4 linked regions of the Arabidopsis thaliana genome follow. The protein of the gene in region 4 purifies or fractionates together with the protein of the main gene of each other region. This does not show direct contact. Each region holds a gene or a part of one and is shown on either strand. Other genes may lie near its edges.

The links.
Region 1: the proteins of GAUT7 (region 4) and QUA3 purify together in Arabidopsis thaliana (affinity purification with mass spectrometry, with the first as the bait; one study listed by BioGRID). This does not show direct contact.
Region 2: the proteins of GAUT7 (region 4) and GH9A1 purify together in Arabidopsis thaliana (affinity purification with mass spectrometry, with the first as the bait; one study listed by BioGRID). This does not show direct contact.
Region 3: the proteins of GAUT7 (region 4) and DL3 purify together in Arabidopsis thaliana (affinity purification with mass spectrometry, with the first as the bait; one study listed by BioGRID). This does not show direct contact.

The regions. Positions count from the first base shown.
Region 1 is NC_003075.7:306,200-312,375, reverse strand, and holds QUA3 (S-adenosyl-L-methionine-dependent methyltransferases superfamily protein), read left to right. Parts: upstream 1-1,891; 5' UTR 1,892-2,077; coding exon 2,078-2,509; intron 2,510-2,671; coding exon 2,672-2,875; intron 2,876-2,951; coding exon 2,952-3,162; intron 3,163-3,255; coding exon 3,256-3,517; intron 3,518-3,626; coding exon 3,627-4,001; intron 4,002-4,152; coding exon 4,153-4,248; intron 4,249-4,338; coding exon 4,339-4,561; 3' UTR 4,562-5,507; downstream 5,508-6,176. UniProt on the Arabidopsis thaliana protein: S-adenosyl-L-methionine (SAM)-dependent methyltransferase (MTase) which mediates the methylesterification of the pectin homogalacturonan (HG) and thus regulates cell wall biosynthesis, at least in suspension-cultured cells.
Region 2 is NC_003076.8:20,196,716-20,202,333, reverse strand, and holds GH9A1 (glycosyl hydrolase 9A1), read left to right. Parts: upstream 1-1,865; 5' UTR 1,866-2,165; coding exon 2,166-2,538; intron 2,539-2,616; coding exon 2,617-2,927; intron 2,928-3,000; coding exon 3,001-3,465; intron 3,466-3,581; coding exon 3,582-3,717; intron 3,718-3,818; coding exon 3,819-3,991; intron 3,992-4,161; coding exon 4,162-4,569; 3' UTR 4,570-4,943; downstream 4,944-5,618. Other genes in the region: FRO6 (ferric reduction oxidase 6), read left to right, coding at 1-77, 160-607, 810-979; AT5G49710 (RING finger protein), read right to left, coding at 5,146-5,227, 5,327-5,435. UniProt on the Arabidopsis thaliana protein: Required for cellulose microfibril formation. Involved in cell wall assembly during cell elongation and cell plate maturation in cytokinesis. Required for secondary cell wall formation in the developing xylem.
Region 3 is NC_003070.9:21,891,174-21,896,200, reverse strand, and holds the start of DL3 (dynamin-like 3), read right to left. Parts: upstream 3,060-5,027; 5' UTR 2,789-3,059; coding exon 2,648-2,788; intron 2,149-2,647; coding exon 2,098-2,148; intron 1,982-2,097; coding exon 1,861-1,981; intron 1,732-1,860; coding exon 1,639-1,731; intron 1,320-1,638; coding exon 1,258-1,319; intron 1,101-1,257; coding exon 983-1,100; intron 842-982; coding exon 505-841; intron 1-504. Other genes in the region: ZCW7, read left to right, coding at 4,291-4,804, 4,880-5,021. UniProt on the Arabidopsis thaliana protein: Putative microtubule-associated force-producing protein, able to bind and hydrolyze GTP. Collaboratively with DRP1A, participates in clathrin-coated vesicle formation during endocytosis.
Region 4 is NC_003071.7:16,160,672-16,167,667, reverse strand, and holds GAUT7 (galacturonosyltransferase 7), read left to right. Parts: upstream 1-1,791; 5' UTR 1,792-2,144; coding exon 2,145-2,295; intron 2,296-2,387; coding exon 2,388-2,416; intron 2,417-2,496; coding exon 2,497-2,538; intron 2,539-2,628; coding exon 2,629-2,688; intron 2,689-3,448; coding exon 3,449-3,515; intron 3,516-3,614; coding exon 3,615-3,661; intron 3,662-3,755; coding exon 3,756-4,057; intron 4,058-4,477; coding exon 4,478-4,829; intron 4,830-4,924; coding exon 4,925-5,455; coding exon of another isoform or gene 5,456-5,482; exon of another isoform or gene 5,483-5,533; coding exon 5,534-5,812; 3' UTR 5,813-6,213; downstream 6,214-6,996. Other genes in the region: AT2G38660 (Amino acid dehydrogenase family protein), read right to left, coding at 98-334, 691-1,007, 1,105-1,276; AT2G38646 (uncharacterized protein), read right to left, coding at 6,859-6,996. UniProt on the Arabidopsis thaliana protein: May be involved in pectin biosynthesis.

The sequences.
Region 1 (6,176 bases), on a different chromosome or scaffold from region 4:
TTTTTAAACAAAGTCAATCCAATGCAGCATTATATCCAAATAGTAAAAACATTAAAAAATATTATGACATCACTTTTATACTATACTATTTCTTATGTAATTCAAATAAAATATATAATTTAATTTATATAAAATATTAATGCCCGTGCTGTATAGCACGGGTTATGATCTAGTCTATATATTGTTCCACCTACATTGATTATTTAAGTATATTTATTTTATCGAAATTTGCTAATTTTCCATAAATCGATCTATTAATTTAACAATGTTATTTTGAAAAAATGGTCTTTGGTTATTATTGTATAGTTGGCACTGCTTTGGAAGTTAATCCATAATTATTAAGTACTATTAAATAGAAAATCTCTATTGAATTGTTCTATTTTTTTGGGTATCGTCATAAATTGATACCATTTAAAGAGATACTCTTAAAATAGAAATCTAAATTTACTTTGCAACTGATTAGTGATACTATGGGTCCATCCATGATGGTGATACTAAAGTATTTTGTTCAGATGATTACTATCCCAAGCGACGCTCCGGAGACGCGTAGCACGTGAATGGCTTCGACGGAATTTATTACAACGTTGTACAATATGGAATGTGGACTAGTGTTGTGTGTGTGAGTACTGTCTTATAAAAAGTGGAATTCAATTTCCAAAAAGATTGAAAGATATTTGCAGTTGCTATTATTATAGCCAACGCCACGGTTAACCTAATATGACAAAAATCAGAAAGACGCGTAAATTGATTATTTTATGTTTTCATATGTTTGAATAAGCTATCTTCCATGTAGAGAGAAAGAGAAATCTCTTTTTCACGAATTAAGAAAATGATACAAGTAAGATTCTTTACAAGAGATATAAGATCATGCATATCTGATTCTAGTAGTATCTATACACGATCTTAGAGGAATAGTATGAGAATATACTAGCATGAATTGGGATTTACTGCTTTAGATAGTATGAAGAGCTTGCATTTGGAGAATGTAACATTTATCTCTTTTTGTTGCTGTCTTTCACTAGACAAACCAAACAGGTCTATCTTTGAACATCAACACAGGAACGCATGAAGTTGCTAGAAGCGTTGTGGCTGATCTACGTACGTCTAACTTCCTATCATCCTATGTCACGCAAGGATATGAAGGGATCAATATTTGCCAAACAGAAATTTGATTACCATTTACCAATGTGAGCTTTCTTCTATTTTTTTCACTCGTTTGCTTTGGGCTTCGTATTGTTTCATCCAAATGTAATTAACCAAAAAATCTCGTATCTATTGTAATATAGGCCTCGGCAAATAAACCAAACTGAATCAAACCAAATCGAACCAAAATTGGAAATTAACCAAATGGATAATAAATTCTGTAACCGAAATAACTGAAACCGAATGGATACAAACAGAAATATAATATTTTGGGTAACCGATAATATCCGAAATATAAATATATTTTCAAAAGTATTAGTTATATCTAGAATAAATAATTAAAAATACTTGAGAATATATATAAAATAGTAAAAAACTCGAAAATAACAAAAATATCCGAAAATATCCAAAAATAATTGAAAGATCCGAAAATATTTAAAGCAAAATAACCGAATGGATACTACATTTTAAAACCGAAAGAACTGAAATCAAACCGAACCGAACCGAACTTTCAAACGAACGCCTATACTATAATGTAATCTGAATGTTCTATCTTGACCGTCAAAGGACGATCCACTGGTATATTATTTCTCATAAGCCAGCCCAAATTACATTTCAAGGCCCAAATCCATTAGCCTCAAAAAGTTAAAAAAACTATAATCAACGGAACATTCCATTTTTTTTTATAATATTCTTAAATCAATTTATGTATTCACCGTGCTTCGCCAGACACCAGAGACGCTTACTAAAGCACTGAGAAAAAACTAAATGAGATTTTGATCACACTCACACAACGGATTGCGAAATAGTAATATTTTATAATCGCCGACAAATTCTTCAGATCTCCAAAATTGAATCTTATTATAAACCCTAAGATTTGCATCTGATCTGCTCTCGAAGACGAAAGCTTCGAGTACTGGTTGAAGCTAAAGCTATGGGACACGTGAATCTACCTGCATCAAAGCGTGGTAACCCTCGTCAATGGCGTCTCCTCGACATCGTAACCGCTGCTTTCTTCGGTATCGTACTTCTCTTCTTCATCCTTTTATTCACTCCTCTTGGTGATTCCATGGCGGCTTCTGGTCGGCAAACGCTGCTTCTCTCTACGGCGTCAGATCCGAGGCAACGGCAGCGATTAGTGACTTTGGTTGAAGCTGGTCAGCATTTGCAACCGATCGAGTATTGTCCTGCGGAAGCTGTTGCTCATATGCCTTGTGAGGATCCGAGAAGGAATAGTCAGCTTAGTAGAGAGATGAATTTCTATAGGGAGAGACATTGTCCTTTGCCTGAGGAGACTCCGCTCTGTTTGATTCCTCCGCCTTCTGGTTATAAAATTCCTGTTCCGTGGCCTGAGAGTCTTCACAAGGTATATTGGATTCTAGCTCCTATTACCATGGTTTTGTAGATTATATAGTTCAGGATAGCTATTAGCTAGTTCGATTTATTGGTGATGTCTAGTTTTGCATGGTTAGAAACATGTCTCTTGGTGTTTGTTAGACTGTTAAAGATGGCTGTTTGAACTTTGTAGATTTGGCATGCAAACATGCCATATAACAAAATTGCTGACCGGAAAGGTCATCAAGGATGGATGAAAAGGGAAGGGGAATACTTTACTTTCCCAGGCGGTGGCACGATGTTTCCTGGCGGAGCTGGCCAATACATTGAAAAGCTTGCACAGTATATTCCGCTTAATGGTGGAACTTTGAGAACTGCTCTTGACATGGGATGCGGGGTGAGAATCATCATAAGTCTTTTTATTTCTCGTTTGGTTCTGTATTGTTATAATACTTAATTGTAAACCTTTGCAGGTAGCTAGTTTTGGAGGTACTCTACTATCTCAAGGCATTCTAGCCCTCTCATTTGCTCCAAGAGATTCACATAAATCTCAAATTCAGTTCGCTTTGGAAAGAGGAGTGCCTGCATTTGTTGCCATGCTTGGCACTCGTAGACTCCCCTTTCCTGCATACTCCTTTGACCTGATGCACTGTTCCCGATGTTTGATTCCTTTTACGGCTTACAGTGAGTCCCTTGGGTTATATACCTCTACTTATGTACGTGTGTTGCGGTTTTTAGCAGCAATTATTCTTATTGTGTTTGGTGATTTGTCTGCAGATGCAACTTACTTCATCGAAGTAGATAGGTTACTGCGCCCTGGAGGATATCTTGTAATCTCTGGCCCACCTGTACAATGGCCTAAACAAGACAAAGAATGGGCTGATCTTCAGGCGGTGGCTAGAGCTTTGTGCTATGAGCTAATTGCGGTTGATGGAAACACTGTCATCTGGAAGAAGCCTGTTGGAGATTCATGTCTACCTAGCCAGAATGAGTTTGGGCTTGAGTTGTGTGATGAGTCTGTTCCGCCAAGTGATGCATGGTGCGTTTTTCTTGTTGTATAATTATGTGCATGTGACTTTTGAACTGTATTGAAACCATGTAAAAGACAAAATTGAAGTTTTTGTTTTTGTTTTTTTTGCCTTTTTCAGGTATTTTAAATTGAAGAGGTGTGTTACCAGGCCATCATCCGTCAAAGGAGAACACGCTTTGGGAACTATATCCAAGTGGCCGGAGAGGCTTACTAAAGTTCCTTCTAGGGCCATTGTCATGAAAAACGGATTGGATGTGTTTGAAGCAGATGCAAGGCGGTGGGCAAGACGCGTTGCTTATTACAGGGATTCTCTTAACTTGAAGCTGAAATCTCCAACTGTCCGCAATGTCATGGACATGAACGCATTCTTCGGAGGCTTTGCAGCAACCCTTGCATCTGATCCTGTGTGGGTTATGAATGTCATTCCAGCTCGGAAGCCATTAACTCTTGACGTGATTTATGACAGAGGTCTCATCGGTGTTTACCATGATTGGTTAGTCACATTTGTTGTTTATATATTTGATCAAAATAAAGACTTAGATATGTTATCTCTCTTGTTCTGTATCTTAGCCATTGGCAGCAATGAGGATCGAAATATGTCACAATTCCTTAATAGTCAAAACCCTATTATTTGTTTGTTGCAGGTGTGAACCATTTTCAACATATCCCCGCACGTATGATTTCATCCATGTATCAGGAATTGAATCACTGATAAAACGACAAGACTCAAGCAAATCGAGGTATAACTAACGTAAAACCATTCTTGATTTCTAACACAGGTCTCTGTCTTATATACTTAACCTAAGCTGAATTGTCTGATATGCATACAGGTGTAGCCTAGTAGATCTAATGGTAGAGATGGACAGAATATTACGTCCAGAAGGAAAGGTTGTGATCCGAGACTCTCCTGAGGTGCTAGATAAAGTCGCACGAATGGCTCATGCTGTAAGATGGTCTTCTTCCATACACGAGAAAGAACCTGAATCCCATGGAAGAGAGAAGATTCTTATCGCAACCAAATCTCTCTGGAAATTGCCATCAAACTCCCACTGAAGACACAAAAGAAGAAGAAAAGAAGAAGCTCTTCTCAATCTTGTAGGTACTGTCACTTGCTCTCCAGCCCTCATCTGTCTGTCCCTAAGACACCAACCAGATGATATATACTTTTTTGTGTTCGTGACATTGCATCTGAATGTATTACAATCGTATAATGTCCTGATATTGTTAATTCTTGGTCACACGTGGTTGTGTCAGTGATTTATGTGAGGGGTCTACCTTTTAGAAGCAACTTGTGACCTACATGAGTAAAGTATGCATGTGACTCTGCGTATAGTTTTGTACTAGAGACCATGTATTAGTAGGTACACGTCCTGGATACGTATTTATGTATTGAAAAACTCCCAACTTACTGACAATTCCTATGATTCAATGTTTTAGTAAAAAAACAAGGTTGTGGTCTTATGGATTTTGGGTGAGAAACGGACACTATAGAAGACTTCTCTTTTTCAGTACTTGTTTTCAGGTGGGGGAAGACATATTTTGGTAAAAAACCTGAGAGAGAAAGAAGTCTCCAATTGGATTGGAAAAAACGTTGAGGACATTAATGCAACAAAGGTTTGGTCGTTCGTCCTCTTTTGAACCATATTTGTTGTCTCAATAAATGTTCTTATGCTTTATAACGTCCAAGACAATCTGATCGTTTTATTCATCTGTTTGAACATAACATCATCGACACACTAGAGGATTCAATTAGATGTGACTCTTGATGGAATTGTCTTTGTAGAAAAGTCTAGTCTTTGCTATGTTTCTAACGGTCTTTGGTTTGTTTCTCAATGTTCAATAATGTTATGTAATGGTAAATATTTAGCAGCGGTATAGTTCATTCTCTTGATATCGGTTTCAAATTTTTATTTGAGGTTGAAACCACATGAACATGGTCGATAGTCTGGTCTTTTTTGATGTTAACATTCATATAACAATTAGTTTAGATTGAGCTGTGGTAGAATTTTGAGCCAGTGCTGCTAATTGGAGTTTGTGGTAATCTAGTAATTACCAAATTTAACCAAACAATGAAAATGACGTTGTCCTTTATATCATCAATCAGGGGAATGGGAATGAATATTCCTCTTTACTTTTCAACCTTTTTTTATTCACCAAACTAATTTCTTCATGACTCTGTCATACCAATAAGAGAAGCCATACGACATTTTTTTTATTTTGTGGCAGACTCTTATGTGTAAATTATTTTGTGACCAACTCTTGCTGGTCGGTTATTCTGTGGAACCGACATTCCCATGTGCTCCAAACCGAACCAAACCAATATGTTCCACTACTTCCTTTCTTCTTCTTATGAAATTGTTTTCCATGATTTTGTTATTATTCAGTTCTTTTTAAGTGCGATGATCCATAAATTCGGTTCAATTAATTCTCACTTTATAAACACTCTAAATATCATCAACACTATATAACCTCAGTTTTTGTATGTCGTTTTAATTCTGTCATCAGCTTTGATATGTTTAACCAACATGATTTTGTATATAACAATAGTTTAGCGATTTGGTTGTTCTCCTTAAATAGAGATCCACCAAGTCATATGTGATGTGGACACCGTTTTGACCGGAAAAGTCGACGAATTATCATGTTTTTCAAACAAACTTGACGTAAAAGG
Region 2 (5,618 bases), on a different chromosome or scaffold from region 4:
CCATTTGCCCTTTCTTCTCTAAGAAACTAAACCTTGAGATTCACATATATATCACTCGACAATCCGAGCCTCGCTTGGTACGTCTTAAATAAGTCTTTTGGGAGCTGCAATAGGCCTTACTAAGCTTGTTGAACTCTTTAATGTTTCATGGTTATACAGGAAGATGGGATGGTTCACAAGGTGGTGCATCCTTCTGTCAAGCTACCACGGACCAACGGATGTTCTATGTCGGTACTAGTTGGTACAGGGGATAACATATGGTCTGGACTCTATCTAATTATATCCACCATTGGATTTATTTCAATGATCACATTGTTGGACATCTTTTACATAAAAAGATACAACATAACAACGTGGTGGTACAAGGGACTTCTATTTGTTGGTTGTATGGTTGCAAGTGTCTTGATTTTTGGAGGTCTTGTGGTTGTTTTCTGGCATCGCTGGGAACACAAAACCGGTGAAGTGGAAGCAAATGGCAACGACAAGGTAGATTTGAATGGAGAAGAAACCCATAATCCATCTGCAGCAGAGCTTAAGGGCTTGGCAATAGAAGAAGATGTCCAGAATTACACCACTATTCGTTATGGCACCAGACCGGCCTTTAGAGGTATACACTACAAAATTAGCGGTGTCAAGTCCAGTTATCTCGTTTTTTTATTTATAAAATTATAGAAACTGAAATCATTCGGAACGGTTTGACACGGTTTCGTTCGGTTCTTGAATCCGACTTTTGGTGTAGATATTTGGCTCGATTCGGTTAAGTTAAATCTTTGATTGGTTCATGTAATATTTTTATTTTGTAATTGCAGAGATATTTGAGTCATTGAATGGGAAATGGGGGAGTGTGGATGTTGGAGTGATAGTATGCGGTCCAGCGACTCTTCAGACGACCGTAGCCAAAGAAATACGGTCACATAGCATCTGGCGATCGGCGAATCATCCTCTTTTCCACTTCAACAGCCACAGTTTCGATCTCTAACGATGCTTTCAAGGCCAAAGAACATTATGGAAGGAAATTCGAAGACAAATTGATGCATATATTTTAGGTAATCTCTGTCAGTATGTACTATGGAAACAGCTATGGTTGATATGTGTATGTTTATCTTTCAGTTTTCGATGTATAAAGTAGAAATCAAATGTATGAGCATCTATGGTTTCTAGTTCTACACTTGTTGGTGTTTCTACATTGGACATTTAATATTAATTAAATGCAAGCTGATAAGTCCTATAATTACATAGCTGCCCATATATTTTCGGAATTTTTTAAAGTAGAGATATATTCATATATATATGAGGGATTAGATTCTATAATTACGAATGTATTTAATTTCAAATTAAAAGTTAGATTCTCATAATTCTCCTTACTTACTCTGTGAGGGATTAGAGTCGTAAAAATGACCACAAGATGTAATTTTTTTTTAGGTCATTGATCTACCATCAATTTGTCGGACACACTTATCTTATAAGTTTTAAATTTTAACAAATGTAAGTGAAATTTTGTGGTAGACTATCATTTTCAAGTAGAAGTAGAATTTAAGTAACCTTCCTTGTTATAATTTTTTTTTAAAAATTATGTCATTACTTAGAGCCCACCAGAAATGATGACGTGTAAAACACCATAATCATAAAGGATAAAATAAAATTATCATCCCACCGACAGTTTATTAGCGGAGATGTCTTTTTCCATCCACCCGACATTAGCCCATTGCTTTACTAGTAAACAAAGTATATGCAATTTTTTGTTAGAAAAAACGGTGCATAAAAAATAATATTTTAATGTCTCCGACAAATTTTAATTGTATGAAAAATAAATACACAAGATTACAAGTTGGCCAAAACGCTCAATCATAGTTGGCCAAAAATATACTATTCCAAAATTAGAGTTAGCTGTAACGTAACATGTACAAATAAACCAAACAAAACATATAATAACAAAATAATTGAAGTGAGTTTTAAAAAGGAAAAAAAAAAAAGAGTAAAAAACCAAAACCAGATCTCTCAAAGAGTCTTTGTACATTATTGACTAGAGAGAGCTTTTTAGCTTCACATTTCTTCACTTCCACACACTTTTACTTCTTTCTCTCTTCTCTTCTCTTCTCCAGATCTGATCCCAAACCTTTGATTCATTGTTGTTGTTCTCTGCTGCTTTATCAGAGAGCATCATCATGTACGGAAGAGATCCATGGGGAGGTCCATTGGAGATAAACACTGCAGATTCCGCCACCGACGATGATCGTAGTCGGAATTTAAACGATTTGGATCGTGCGGCTCTTTCACGTCCACTAGATGAGACGCAGCAGAGTTGGTTACTTGGTCCAACGGAGCAGAAGAAGAAGAAGTACGTCGATCTCGGTTGTATTATCGTTAGCCGCAAGATCTTCGTCTGGACTGTTGGTACTCTTGTTGCCGCCGCGTTACTCGCCGGATTCATTACCTTGATCGTTAAAACTGTGCCGCGTCATCATCCTAAGACTCCGCCGCCGGATAATTATACTATAGCTCTACACAAAGCTCTTAAGTTCTTCAATGCTCAGAAATGTAAGTGTAGAATCTACTTAGATCTGATAAAATTTAGATATAGAGTTTTAGATCTAAGTCTGATTTTGATTGTTGTAGCTGGGAAATTGCCAAAGCATAATAACGTGTCATGGAGAGGTAATTCTGGGCTTCAAGATGGGAAAGGTGAAACAGGAAGCTTCTATAAAGATTTGGTGGGAGGTTATTATGATGCTGGTGATGCTATCAAGTTCAATTTCCCCATGGCTTATGCTATGACTATGTTGAGCTGGAGTGTTATTGAATATAGTGCTAAATACGAAGCTGCTGGTGAGCTCACTCATGTTAAGGAGCTTATCAAATGGGGAACTGATTACTTTCTCAAGACTTTCAATAGTACTGCTGATTCCATTGATGATCTTGTGTCACAGGTACTTGTTTATGACCTTCGTAGGAGATCTTTCATATTGAGTTGTTTGTTCACTCGTTACATGTTTAATGTAGGTTGGATCAGGGAATACTGATGATGGAAATACAGATCCTAATGACCATTACTGTTGGATGCGACCTGAGGATATGGACTATAAAAGGCCCGTGACTACTTGTAATGGTGGATGTTCGGATCTCGCTGCAGAGATGGCAGCTGCTCTGGCTTCAGCATCTATTGTATTCAAGGATAACAAGGAATATTCTAAAAAGCTTGTCCATGGTGCTAAGGTGGTGTATCAGTTTGGAAGGACGAGGAGAGGGAGATATAGTGCAGGCACTGCGGAATCTAGCAAGTTCTATAATTCAAGTATGTATTGGGATGAGTTCATTTGGGGTGGTGCTTGGATGTATTATGCTACCGGAAATGTAACGTATCTCAATCTAATCACCCAACCTACTATGGCCAAGCATGCTGGTGCCTTCTGGGGTGGCCCTTACTATGGTGTATTTAGCTGGGACAACAAGCTTGCTGGTGCTCAGGTCAGTCCACACATAACAACCTGCTGTGTTTATGTTTCTTAGATATTCATGTCTTCTTGATCATTTGCCTTAACCATACTACTCTTGACTCTTTTGAATCCCTTTTGCGATTTTAGTTGCTGTTGAGCCGGTTGAGGTTGTTTCTGAGTCCTGGATATCCATATGAAGAAATTCTAAGGACCTTCCACAATCAGACCAGCATAGTCATGTGCTCATACTTGCCTATTTTCAACAAATTTAACAGAACCAATGGTTAGTTACCTTCCAGCTTTAATGTCTGCCTCTAATAAAACTCCAACTGTGGGGCTTGTTCTTGTTTCAGATATCTAAAATGAAATCTTTGGTATGTGCAGGAGGTTTAATAGAGTTGAATCATGGAGCTCCACAGCCGCTGCAATATTCTGTAAATGCAGCTTTCTTAGCGACTCTATACAGTGATTATCTGGATGCTGCTGATACTCCTGGATGGTACTGTGGACCTAATTTCTATTCGACAAGTGTGCTACGTGACTTTGCTAGATCCCAGGTATTGCTTCTTTTCCTTTACTCTTTACAGAAATGGTAATCTCAGATATAGTAATGGATAAGATCCAAAAATGACACTTTTAACCAAGATTGTACGAAGATCTTTTTAAACTCCATTTTTTATTTTGACATCTAAATTGGATTTAACTCGGCCTTGCTGTATTTTGGCAGATTGATTATATACTGGGTAAAAACCCTCGGAAAATGAGTTATGTCGTTGGTTTTGGCACAAAATACCCAAGACATGTGCATCACAGAGGAGCTTCGATACCCAAGAACAAAGTCAAGTATAACTGCAAAGGAGGATGGAAATGGAGAGACAGCAAGAAACCAAACCCAAACACGATTGAAGGAGCCATGGTTGCTGGTCCTGACAAGCGCGACGGGTACCGTGATGTCCGTATGAACTACAACTACACTGAACCGACTCTTGCAGGCAATGCTGGTCTAGTCGCAGCTCTTGTGGCATTATCGGGTGAAGAAGAAGCCACCGGTAAGATAGACAAAAACACTATTTTCTCAGCTGTTCCTCCTTTGTTCCCTACTCCACCACCTCCACCAGCACCATGGAAACCTTGAGAAAGCTAGACTTGTGTGATTCTGTCGCTGCTGCCAAAAAAAATGAATGAGGTAAGAAGGATTTGGGTGTGAGACCAGAAGATTAGAAGCTAAACACAAGTCAGCCATAACCAAACTACTAAGGATTTCATTTGGCTTTACTAGATACAAACACGGGGTGGGTTACTTTACCACAAGCATTGTCTTTCTTTTCTTTTTTTGGGTTGCTGTTTTGTTCTTGTGAGATATCATATATATCTATGCGTTTTACTCTGTATATGTTTGATACCAAACTTGTATTCTTTGATAAACAATTTAATGAACTGTATTAAACTTTTAACTATGTTTTATTGTGCAAGTGTGAGATCAACCTGGAATAACAACTGTAGTCTACTAAAATACGTGATTCTAGCATGCATTTACTCATTTAATGGATATAAACGATGATGCAGAAAGAATATTGCAGTAAAGAACGGAATTACATATGGCATTCTTTATACATGATGAAGTTGTATTCACAGAGATCATGGAGAAACCCAAATTAAACTGTTATCACAGTACACAGGCGAGATGTGTTCGAGAAGGCGTCATCGTCAATCAAACGAGCTTCGATATTACATGACATGACGCCCAAAAGGCCTTTGATGCAACCCTCAGGATCACGGGGTTTTGATAGATCCTGTCGGTGAAATGAACAAAATAAAAATGCTTGGTGAGAACGATAAACAATGGGACTATTAGATTTTGCAATGTAGAAGATGACTAGATGATATTATACCCTATAACAGTTGCGCTCCATGACGCTACGTTGTAAGCAACCTTACTTCCATCCCAGGCTTTCCGAAGTTTCCCCTTTCTATTCTTCACTGAGAACATCCTGCTAAGTGCTACATTACAATTCAAACACTAATGTTACAGTTTTACTACTAATCTGATATGCCACCACTGATCAACTTCACACATAATCAACATCAAAGAAAATAACTTGGCGACTTAATGGTCTTTGTTTGTGTCAGCGCAATAACAAGCTTCCTAGTTGAGTTTTAAGATTGGAACCGGTAAACTCTATT
Region 3 (5,027 bases), on a different chromosome or scaffold from region 4:
CAGTAACGATGGCAGATAAATCTGGCACATATCCAATTTCAGATAACTATTTCCTCTTATGCAACTTTCCCTTTTGCTTTATCTTTGCCTTTTGGTTTATTCCAATTCACTAAACACCGTTCCTCTCCATTGCAAATTCAACATAGAGGTTTAATTTCTTGACTTTTAGGTAGATTATCATCTATTCAATCAGTTAAAGATATGAATCTTGTTTTCCTTTTCAGAAACTTAGCTTCGACCTGGTCCGTATATGTTGATTAGAAAGACACAAGGACAAAGGTTTCTAAAATATCTCATGAGAAGTGCGCTAATGATGATAGGAGCTGGAAAGTCTAGCTAACTAAGCCTAAAGGTCGACTTCAACTTCAAAGAAACAAAACAAATTGGCTTTGATGGAGAAAATTGTAAATCTTCCCTAAAGTACCAGTACAGAAAAATAGGCAAACAAACAATCGATTTTTCATTTGACATATAAAAGCAAAAACATATGGAGAGAGGAAATACCCAGTTAAGATGTTCGGAAGCCTGAGCTTCATTCTGCTACGGATCTGGCTAGCAAGAGTGTCGACCAGGGCAATTCTGCCAAGTTTGCTTTGTGGAGCACCAGTCAAAATGGATTTAAGGCTTTCACTCTCAGCACGCCAAGCAGTTTCTAAAGAGTTCTCACTGCCTCCAGACTGCGCTGATGCAATTGAGACAGATTGGCCAATAAGTGCAACCCATGGAATATCAGTTGTTTTTGGAGGTCCTTGATTTGAAAGAAGCGCCTGAACTGCTGCAAGGGACTTTGGGTTCTCTGCTGCCTGATCAATTTTGCTGATAATTCCTACTGTCCTAGTACCTATAAATAAGGAGTGATGTTTTTTTTTTTGGTTATAGTATACACAAAATTTAGTTCCAATGTTTCTATCCAAATGTAGTAACCCCAGTTGTTTAGAAGTATAATGAAGGGTCTGTATAACGAAAGTGCCTATATACTCACTCTCTGGATCATACTCCTTTGCGATCTTCAGGGCTCGAGATGACGAAATTTCAGATGCCTGGCTAGCAGGCACAACAACCAGCAATATAGCATCGTTGTGCTGTGCATGTTCACCAATCTTGCAAAGAGAGGAGAGAAACAAATTATAAGATGACAATGATAATGAATCTATGAAGCCCTACAGCCAGAATGCCGAATAAAAAATGTGGAAATTCTCCATGGTTGACAGGTGGATTAGGGGGATGACAAAGGCATCAAGCAGTTCCTAAGCTTACCATAGAATCGTCCACAATTCGCTGGTCCAGTCCAGGCAAATCAATCAATTTCAGTGGTGGAGCTGCAATTAAAAGGGAAAAATATGTTATGATGATTACAGAAACCAGTACAAAACAAACGATATGTGATAATTCATGTTCCAAAGAGAACATTTAAGTTAGATCTTCATTTAGATATATAGTCCAATTTTCACAACTTAGCTTCAGATTCTACCCAAAAGAAGTTGAAGCGCTAATGTGCGTTAGATTTAGAGGTAAAAACTCATTACAGCTGAACTGTTCACTTAAGTAGGGGACATTATCCGACTTAGGCTTGGGTAATATGGATGTTGCATTAAATAGGGATTCCCATTTATGATTGTGCAAGTAGAAAGGAATTACCTGTGCTGGTACGAAGTTTTAGGTATATTTCATCACGACCCCTTCCTGAAGCTCCTTTGCTAAGCCTATCTTGTAGTGAATGCCTTAGTGCACCTGTAATACACACATTCGAAAAAAACGGAAATATTAGTCAAATATTAATCTAATGCATTGCATCTTACATGCAGAAATAGCTTCACAAATCATTGCTAAATTGCATATGTGCACATAGGGAGCTCTTACTTGCAGAAACTTGTTGATTTTTATTGTCAATTTGCAAGATTATTGCCTTGCTGCTCAGTGATTCTTCTCTACTCAAATCAATGATAATAGGAGCCCGTGTCGCACCATTCTCACCCGTCGGCTATCCATGGTAATCATAGTAGACAGGACAACACAAAGTGGTTACTTTAAGAAAATGTATCAGCCAATAGTGACATACACAAATTGCCGCGCACTCAAATTCAATACACAACTTACCAGAACTGGATGCCCAATTAGGCTATTTAGAACTGCAGACTTTCCAGCTCCCTGATCCACCAAGAAAAGTGAAATAACTTCAGTCTTCACATAAGAAATTTTTCTTTTCTAAGCCTAAGAAGTTTCAATCACAAACACATAGCAATATTTTTTCTGTCTTCCAACAGATAAGTGTTTTAGGAAACAGAGTAAATCACATACACTTTTCGTTCTGATATACACTTTCTAAAATAGATTTCTCATAGTTTCAAATAACAAACGCATCAACCTTCTCTACTATAGTAATACCTCCCAGGTTTGAATCTCATAGAATCAAATAATCCCTAATAAAGAGAGAAACGCAACAAAACAAGCTACGAACGAAGAGATGAAGAATACAAAACATCCTACCAAACTCCTAGGTTACGGGACCATTTCGAAAACACCTCATCGAGATCCACAAGATCCACGATATGGCAACAAAAATCTACACTCGATCACAGTATAAAACTTACAACAAACGCCAAATACAGTCACATCTCAGAAACAGAAAAAGCGAGAGAAAACCCACCACATTCCCTAGGGCAACGACGTTGAGAGAAGTAGCTGGCCGTCTAGAAGAAGAGGTCTCATCGGGATCTTCGTCAGCGAGCAGAGACGCCGCTTGTCTCATCGAATCCGAAAGCTGAGACAACTCATCGATCGCCTCCATCGTAACTTGCACAGCGAATCGAGGTCGAATGAAGTACGAGATCTGGACGAAGAAAGGGAGCCGCTAGATCCGATTAGAATCAATATCGGTAGCCACGAGCGGTGGATTTTCCCGGCGATTGGGTTACCGGAATTTCGAATTCGGTCGCGACGGTGCTAAGCTAGGATTTGTTTGTCTGTGTGTGTCTTCGTCGGGGAGAGAATGGGCAAGACGGGTCATATAACTTTACATAAACACGTAGTAATTAACACATTTTTCAAATTTCATAAATGTTGAAAATTATTAAGTGGTTTTTTCTTTTCTTTCATAAATGTTGAAAATTTTCACAACTGTTCAAAGAAATTCTTTACAAATGTGAAAGCATAAAACACACAAATGTGGATGCGTAAAATATAAATTAACACAACTTTTTGCTATCAATAAAGACATTCTCAGCTAAATTTGTTCGAATTAAAATATTGTAAGTGAATTTCAATGTGGTACAAGAATTTGTATCATCGAATGCGCTTGTTTGGTTGTATATTTTTCCAAATGAACAAATGCGGAAGACCACTTTGTAATCCTGATGTAGGAGACTAGTATTTTTGTAATGTTTGAGTGCGAAATGTTGAGTTGTGATCAACCGAGTTCTAAATTTATCTCCAACAGTTTAATCTCTCTAATTTGTTTCGCTAGATGGGATAAGGCATGTAAGTTATCAAATTCGTTAGCATGCTAGGTTTGCAAGTATATCACCAAATTTTGGTATTGGTCTAACTGTTTGTATATAAATTTGTGTATACCGTATTCATAAATTGCTTGTATAAATTTGTGCATACAAGTATATCACTAAATTCTAATTAAAGTAAAAGCTCAAAAAAATTATCTTAAAATCATACGCGGATAGATAGTACCAAAAGTGTATGTAAGAGTGTCATCATCATATGCATTTTTTGTTTTTGTATGAAAGATATCATCTCAATATTTCGTAAACTATATCCAAAAACAAGCCTCTATGATATGCATTAGAGTTCATTTGTGCAACTAATGGTTCATGCCATCTAACCCCACAATAGAGACCTAGCGAATTGCAATGTTTCGCTAGAGGTATGAACAGTAATCCAACCATACTCAATTTATATGGACGCATTGCTAAGGTCAACAGAAGAGCACAAACCACCAAAACTCACAGTAGGATGCAATGCTTCAGTCCTAGTATGCCAAAACTCATAACTAAGATAAGAATCCTTACCATATATATTTAGGCATTGGATGAAACGTTCAACATTTATTAATGGTTTCAGTCAATGTTCAAAAAATTTACATTGGAATTTATCTCTATTTTGGACCGTTTATGCAATTTATTCCCAAAATATTGGAAACCAAGAGAACCGGAAATAACCGATTTGGAATTCTGGTTTACCACTGTTTTCAGTATCCTCCTGTTCTCTGTACTCAATAGCCGACGACACTCTGAGAGAGAGAGCCAATCGCGATTTTGAATTTTGCATCGACGGCGAAAAATGCGATCGTTAGAAGAGCTATCTCCGATAGAAACTCTAGATATCGAAGAGAACGGTCTCGCTCTCGTCTCACGCGTCAAGCTCAATCTCACAATCCACCCAGTAGTCCCATCCGTATCCAAATCCATCGACGAATGGCAACTCAAGCGATCCTTAATAGATTACCTCAAAAACTCTGTCGTAACCTCCGTCACAGTTCCGGAGGAAGACATCGTAGTTCGTCGTCACAAGGACTTGAAGAAACGGAAGCGTGAGGAGCCAGTTGCTCATGGATCGTTGTTTATACGCGATTTAGGGTTTCTCGATGGGAAGAAGAAGAAGAAGGAGAATGATGGAGAGAGAGATGTGAAGGAATTGGAGAAGAAGTTTTTGGATTGGAGGAAGAGTTTGGTGGAGAAGATGAATGGTATTGAGCTTAATTTGGAAGGAGTTAAGTATAAGCTTAGTGTGGTACTTCCGATTTCAGATGATTTCGAGAAGTTGAAGAAGGATTGGGAGGAGTTTTACGCTTTTGGTAATCTTGGTTCTTCAATTTTGGATTTTGATTTTACGATTTTTTCGTGGTAATTGATGTGATTGTGATTTGCAGGACATTCAAGGGAAGGAAGGAGAGAGGCTGATACGATTATACTTAGAGGTGTGCCATCAAGATGGTTTGCTGAGCCACGAGTTTCATCGAAGCCTTCTATGTTGGTTACACATACAATCTTCTCTAGCTTTGGGAAAATTAGGTAAGA
Region 4 (6,996 bases):
TATCCGAGAATTTCAGAAAACATAAATGCATAGTTAATTCCCAAACCAAAATGTTTAAGCATAAGAATCCACTTGAACTATAAAGAAGAACTAATACCTGCAATAATAAAGACATTGGTAGTCCAACGATGTTGCTTCTGCCTATGACCACAGCATTTTTTCCTGCTATTTCAACACCCGTTCTTATCAACAACTCCACACAGCCCTTAGGAGTGCAAGATACAAACAGCGGTTCCCTCCCTCTCATTGCAAGATTCCCCACGTTTAATGGATGAAACCCATCAACATCTTTCTCCAATCTCACCATATTCAAGATTTTTGATTCATTAAGATGCTGTACAAGATATCTTCCATTAAATGATTGGACTCATGAGAAAAAAAAAAAAAAAGGAAAGGAAACCAACAAAATACAAGAACGTTCTCCTGAAAAAGAGCTCCACAAGTAAGATGCTCTATCGCATAACCTGTAAATTAAATGCTTTACCTACCAACGAAAAGGAAACCTTAAAGGGGAAAATGTTATGCATGAGTCCATGGTCGATGAAAATATATGAATCAAGAATTTCTACATACAAGTATGAAAACAAAGTAAACGTAACTACTTGACCTCCTAACATAGAACTAATCTTTGACATCAACAACACTAACATCCCCCATCACAACGTCCAAAGAAAAAAATGAGAAACATACTTGGGGTAAAGGAAGTTGCACAAGAATTCCGTGAATAGACGTGTCTTCATTGAATTTTCTCAATACACTGATAATCTGTCCTTCAGTACAATCCTCTGGTAATTCAGCCAAAACAGATTTAATGCCAGTTTCTTCACAAGCTTTAATTTTGTTGCGAACATAAGTTTGCGAGTCTCTTTGTTCACCAACCAAAACAACAGCAAGACCAGGGACTTTTCCAACAGCCTTTTTCATCTTCCCCACTTCACTAATAATCTTTGTTCTGATTTCCTCAGCGATAACATTACCATCTATCACCACAGTCTTCTGTTCAGTCTCTGTATAAATGCATACACACAGAAATCAACTCATACAATTAGAGAATTTTCTTGTAACATATATATATAGCCATGAAAATGCAACAAAGAGTATTACCAAAGGAAACAGGAGGTGGAGGATCAGAGTAAGGAATCCAATTTTCAGGCAAGTCAAGTGACACGAGAGGAGGAGACACTAAGATGGAACTAAAGCAATGTACATCCCTTGTTGCCAAACGAAACGCCTTAGTATGCGCCGAGGCCAAAGCTTTCCTCGCGATCATTAACATACTCAAAACTAAAAGAACAGTCACTGATTCAAATCAAGCACAAGAAAAAAGTCAATGTAAAAGTACAGACCAGACAAGAGAACCTTAGACAGGTCAGCCTAAGCTAGAATAAAACCATAATTTGATCCTTTTAGCTCCATACTCTTCATTACATCCACACAAACAAATAAAGAGGCGCATAATACAGTAAAAACAAACTTGCACCAGATTGAACCTAAATGGATTAAAGATTTCACCAGACTATCATAAGCTTTCACTCAGCTAAAATTCATCTTCTTCACTCAGCTAAATTCATCATACATAGAATTCTTAACAAAGAAGAAATCGGAAAATAGGAAAAAACAGAGGAGAGATTTACCAGTGGTATATAAAGCGTCGTCAATGGCGTTGAAAAATATCGCTAGGCATACCGGAGTTTAGGATTCAACGAGTGACAATATAAAACGATGATGATTAACAAAAAAAGTAAAAAGAATTCACCACCGTGTGAGAAAAGACACGTGTTATGATCTGGAGATAGATCTTGCAAGTGGGTTAAATAATAAACGGCGGAGACATAGCCACACGTGTGAAAAAAAAAGAGGTGTGTGTGTGTGTGTGTATGTGTGTATGTGTGTGTATCTCTCTCTCTCTTCCTCCAAGTAGCAAAAAGCAAAGGGGAAAGAGACGATGCGATCGGGCTAAGTGCAGAAACACTTATACTTGTGCATTCTGCAACACAACACACACACAGAGAATTCGACGAGAGTATGATTTGAGTGTATCGAGAACAGAGAGAGACATTGATAGAGAGATCGTTGGCAACGTTTTGGGGATCCAATGCGTTCGTAATTGGGAAAGACATTTCATTCAATTCTAAATCGGGAATATGAAAGGCGGAGGCGGTGGTGGAGGAGGTGGTGGCGGAGGAAAACGCCGGTGGAAAGTTCTGGTGATTGGAGTTTTGGTTCTTGTTATTCTTTCTATGCTTGTTCCTCTTGCTTTCTTACTCGGTCTTCACAATGGCTTTCACTCTCCTGGTATCTCTTATCATTCTCTCTCTAACACTCTCTTTGCTTTTTTTCTGCCGATCTCTGTTTCAGATCTAATCTCATCTTTTTCACTTTTTCAGGATTTGTCACTGTTCAACCGGCTTCTTCAGTAAGCAATTTCTCGTTTCTTTGTGTGTTTGTTTTGGTGTGTTTTGATTTTGTTCTGAATCTTCTTTCTTTTGGAATCAGTTTGAGAGCTTTACCAGAATCAATGCTACTAAGCATACACAGGTAATGTCACTCTCCTTTGATTGATTCGATTCTCATTTTTTATACCAAAATCTTTTTGCTGCTTTTGATATTCTTTCTTTGGTTTTGCAGAGAGATGTATCCGAACGGGTCGATGAGGTTCTTCAAAAAATCAATCCAGTTCTTCCCAAGGTTGGTTCCACTTGTTTCAGTGTGGATTAAAGGCCTTGACCTGTTCCATTTATGTTATAGATTAGTAGTTTTTGACAGAAATTTTAGATCTTTTCATGTACCCATAGAGTCAAAGCATTTATGGTGGTTGGAAGCACTTCATTATCTTACACACTGCTCTCTAATTGACACACACATTTCAGATCTGGTCTATATATGTTTAATTTTCAACTATTGAAGTATGTTTCTGTCATAATTATTGGCATTAATGTTTCACATCTTGTCTTTCAAGTGGTGTAAAATATATAGGCTTTGTAGTTTGATTACAGATAATAGGGCTATTTGTAAATGTATAGGCTTTGTATCAGGTTTGCCACAGTATTCTTGCAAGATGTCAATGCTAACATTAGAAAAAACTTAGATGCCTTTTCGTTTCATGGAAAGCTATGCAAGATGCCAATGCTAATATTAGCCAGTGAATCTGGAAACTTTACTGGCACTACAAACAAACTATAGGTCAAAAGGTTGTAGTTAATCAGTTGCCGTATATTTTGTGTGATGTTGCTTAAAGGGTAGAGAAATTAGATGAATGATCTCTTTATTTTTTTTATATTTGACTATCTCATGAGACTAGAAAGTTGAAATACTTTCATGAATTATGTTGCTTAATGTATCTCAAATTGTCTTGGGCAAGGTCAAGAATTAGTTCCTTGGGTGAGATGGTTAAACTGTTTGTAACAATTTCTATACTTATGTTTTGTTTTATTGTATCACATGCTAGAAAAGCGACATAAACGTGGGTTCCAGAGATGTGAATGCAACAAGCGGCACTGATTCTAAAAAAAGAGGTCTGCTTTACAAGCTTCACTTTCTTGAAATTCCTCTTCCATTATTTTATATTGATTCTGGTCTGATACTTTACGTCTGGTCTCTCCATTAATCTGCAGGATTACCAGTGTCCCCAACTGTTGTTGCCAATCCAAGCCCTGCAAATGTACAAATATATTAAGTGGTTTCCTTAGTAGACATCTTTATATCTCTCACCAATCATTTAACGTTAACCTTACTCTGCTTTCTTCTGTGAACAGAAAACAAAATCGGAAGCCTCATATACAGGTGTTCAGAGGAAAATAGTAAGTGGTGATGAAACTTGGAGAACTTGTGAAGTGAAATATGGGAGCTACTGCCTCTGGAGGGAGGAAAATAAGGAACCAATGAAAGATGCCAAGGTGAAGCAAATGAAGGACCAGCTGTTTGTGGCTAGAGCATACTATCCCAGTATTGCTAAAATGCCTTCTCAAAGCAAGTTGACTCGGGATATGAAACAGAATATCCAAGAGTTTGAGCGTATTCTTAGTGAAAGTTCTCAAGATGCTGACCTTCCACCACAGTAAGTTCTCTACCAGTTTGGGTTTAATCATTTTTGTACTGAAAGTTAGTTCCTTACTGGAAAAGATTTTGTTGGATTCTAGTCACATGAATCTCTCCTAGTTTGCCTTCAGTTTGTCTGGACATCCTGTTTTCTAGTGGTTTACTTGCTTTCAGATGGTTTATGGTATAGAAAATATTTATCATAACATTCTCTCTTCACCTATCCAGTGGGCAGCACATCCAGAAATATCACTATTTTGAAGCCTTATCGGTCTCAATATCTTAAACCAATGTATAATTTAGTAAACTAATGTACTAGATGATAGGAGGACGCCATGGATGTTGTTTGTTCTCTCTCAAGAGAAGCTTTGATGTGTAGAATCCTATGCTAATTTCTTTAAACGTACTTACTGGGTATCTCTTAACACTGTTGTGTCAGGGTTGATAAAAAGTTGCAGAAGATGGAAGCTGTAATTGCAAAGGCAAAGTCTTTTCCAGTCGACTGTAACAATGTTGACAAGAAATTGAGACAGATCCTTGATTTGACTGAGGATGAAGCTAGTTTCCACATGAAACAGAGTGTGTTCCTCTACCAGCTTGCAGTACAGACAATGCCTAAGAGTCTTCATTGCTTGTCAATGCGACTAACTGTGGAACATTTCAAGTCAGATTCACTTGAGGATCCCATTAGTGAGAAATTTTCAGATCCCTCATTACTTCACTTTGTTATCATCTCCGATAATATACTAGCATCGTCCGTTGTGATCAACTCAACGGTTGTACATGCAAGGGTGCGTCTTAAATCCAGTTTTCTTTACTTAGTATTTTTTTTCATGCAGTCATAGAACTCTGATTTCTAATTCTTGGTTGGTTATTGATGTTTCAGGACAGTAAAAACTTTGTTTTCCATGTACTGACAGACGAGCAGAATTACTTTGCAATGAAACAATGGTTTATTAGGAATCCTTGCAAACAATCAACTGTTCAAGTATTGAACATTGAAAAACTCGAGCTGGACGATTCTGATATGAAACTGTCTTTGTCTGCGGAGTTCCGTGTTTCCTTCCCCAGTGGTGACCTTTTGGCGTCTCAACAGAATAGAACACACTACTTATCCCTTTTCTCTCAATCTCACTATCTTCTTCCCAAATTATTTGACAAATTGGAGAAGGTTGTGATTCTGGATGATGACGTTGTAGTCCAGCGAGACTTATCTCCCCTTTGGGACCTTGATATGGAAGGGAAAGTGAATGGCGCTGTTAAGTCGTGCACTGTGAGATTGGGTCAGCTAAGGAGTCTCAAGAGAGGAAATTTTGATACCAATGCTTGTCTCTGGATGTCTGGTTTGAATGTCGTTGATCTTGCTAGATGGAGGGCATTGGGTGTTTCAGAAACCTATCAAAAATATTATAAAGAGGTCAGTTTCCTGAAAAACCTTTTGTAAGAGATAATTGGGTGATTCTGAGCAATGACTTCCTTTTTTCATGTGCAGCAGATGAGTAGTGGAGATGAGTCGAGCGAAGCAATTGCATTGCAGGCAAGCTTGCTCACATTTCAAGACCAAGTATATGCTCTTGACGACAAATGGGCTCTATCAGGGCTTGGTTATGACTACTACATCAATGCACAAGCCATAAAAAACGCAGCCATATTGCACTATAACGGGAACATGAAGCCGTGGCTTGAGCTGGGAATCCCAAATTACAAAAACTATTGGAGAAGGCATCTGAGTCGGGAAGATCGGTTCTTGAGTGACTGTAACGTGAATCCTTGATGAGTAAGTAGCTACACGGCCAATGCTTTTAGAAGCAAGGTCACACGCAAAGAAAAGATTTAGAGTGCAACATCTCAATTTTTTGGGTAAATAAACCCGAATGCATTGCAGGAGAAATGCTGAAGGGGAAGAAGCATGCAGAAGCCATACCAAATTGATTATAAGAGACGTGATGATGGTGATTTGAAAAGCTTTGATATGATTAAAAAAAAAAAAAAGAGGATGTGAAAGAACTTTGATATGTTGTATATGATTTTTGGCAAAGAGATGTGCCATTCTTTTCCTCGCGTTGTTTTTCCAATTTGTCATGTAGTTTCTTTGTTATTCTTTACTTTTGTGACGTACCAAAATAGAAGGCGATAAGATTTTTTTTAATCTATTTCTTATTAACTAGTTTGCACAGTACATTTATCCATGGTGTTGAAGCTTCTTCTCAGAAAGCAAAAACAATCAGGTCTTATGAAGGATTTCTCTCAGACAGTGTGTCTGTTGCAATAGCGGAGGAGGCCCTTTCCTCGGTAGGTTAAAGTTTCGCATCCTTGCTCATGCGAAACTAAATAGTAAATAGTAAAGAAACTTTGACCATACAATGTGTCTGTAGCAACATTACAGCAGGAAGCTACACTAAATAGTAAAGAAAGTTTCGCATCCTTGCACATGTTAAATGATTCAAGCAGAAACATTGTTATAAAAAAAACACAAGCTGCACAAAAACCAATCCACACTTCACAAATCCAAACGCACCAAATAACTTTGTCGACAACTATGGTCTCAATAGTTTAAAGCACAGAGGTAAATGGATCCATCGCAACCTTTACAGTCCTTGTACTTTAATTTTGAGCTGATAGTTTTTCCCCTAATTGAGGTAACGTACAAATCAAGAAAGACATTGATTACTATGTAAATAAAGTGCAGTGTAGGTATAATGTTATATCCGTATAGAGATAATACATATAAGTAAAGAGCATGCATGTGGTATAAAGAAAGAAGAAAGAGACCTCAAGCAAAATTGTAACGATGAAGTCCCATCTTAGCATAAAGCTTGACTAAGTGGTAAGGATTAGGAGGGAGATAAAGACAGTTAACCTTGACCATTTTATAACCACCGCATACACGTCCATATGACCATATACAAACATACTTTCATCGTCGTCGGATGATGACGATACAGACCAAAACAAATC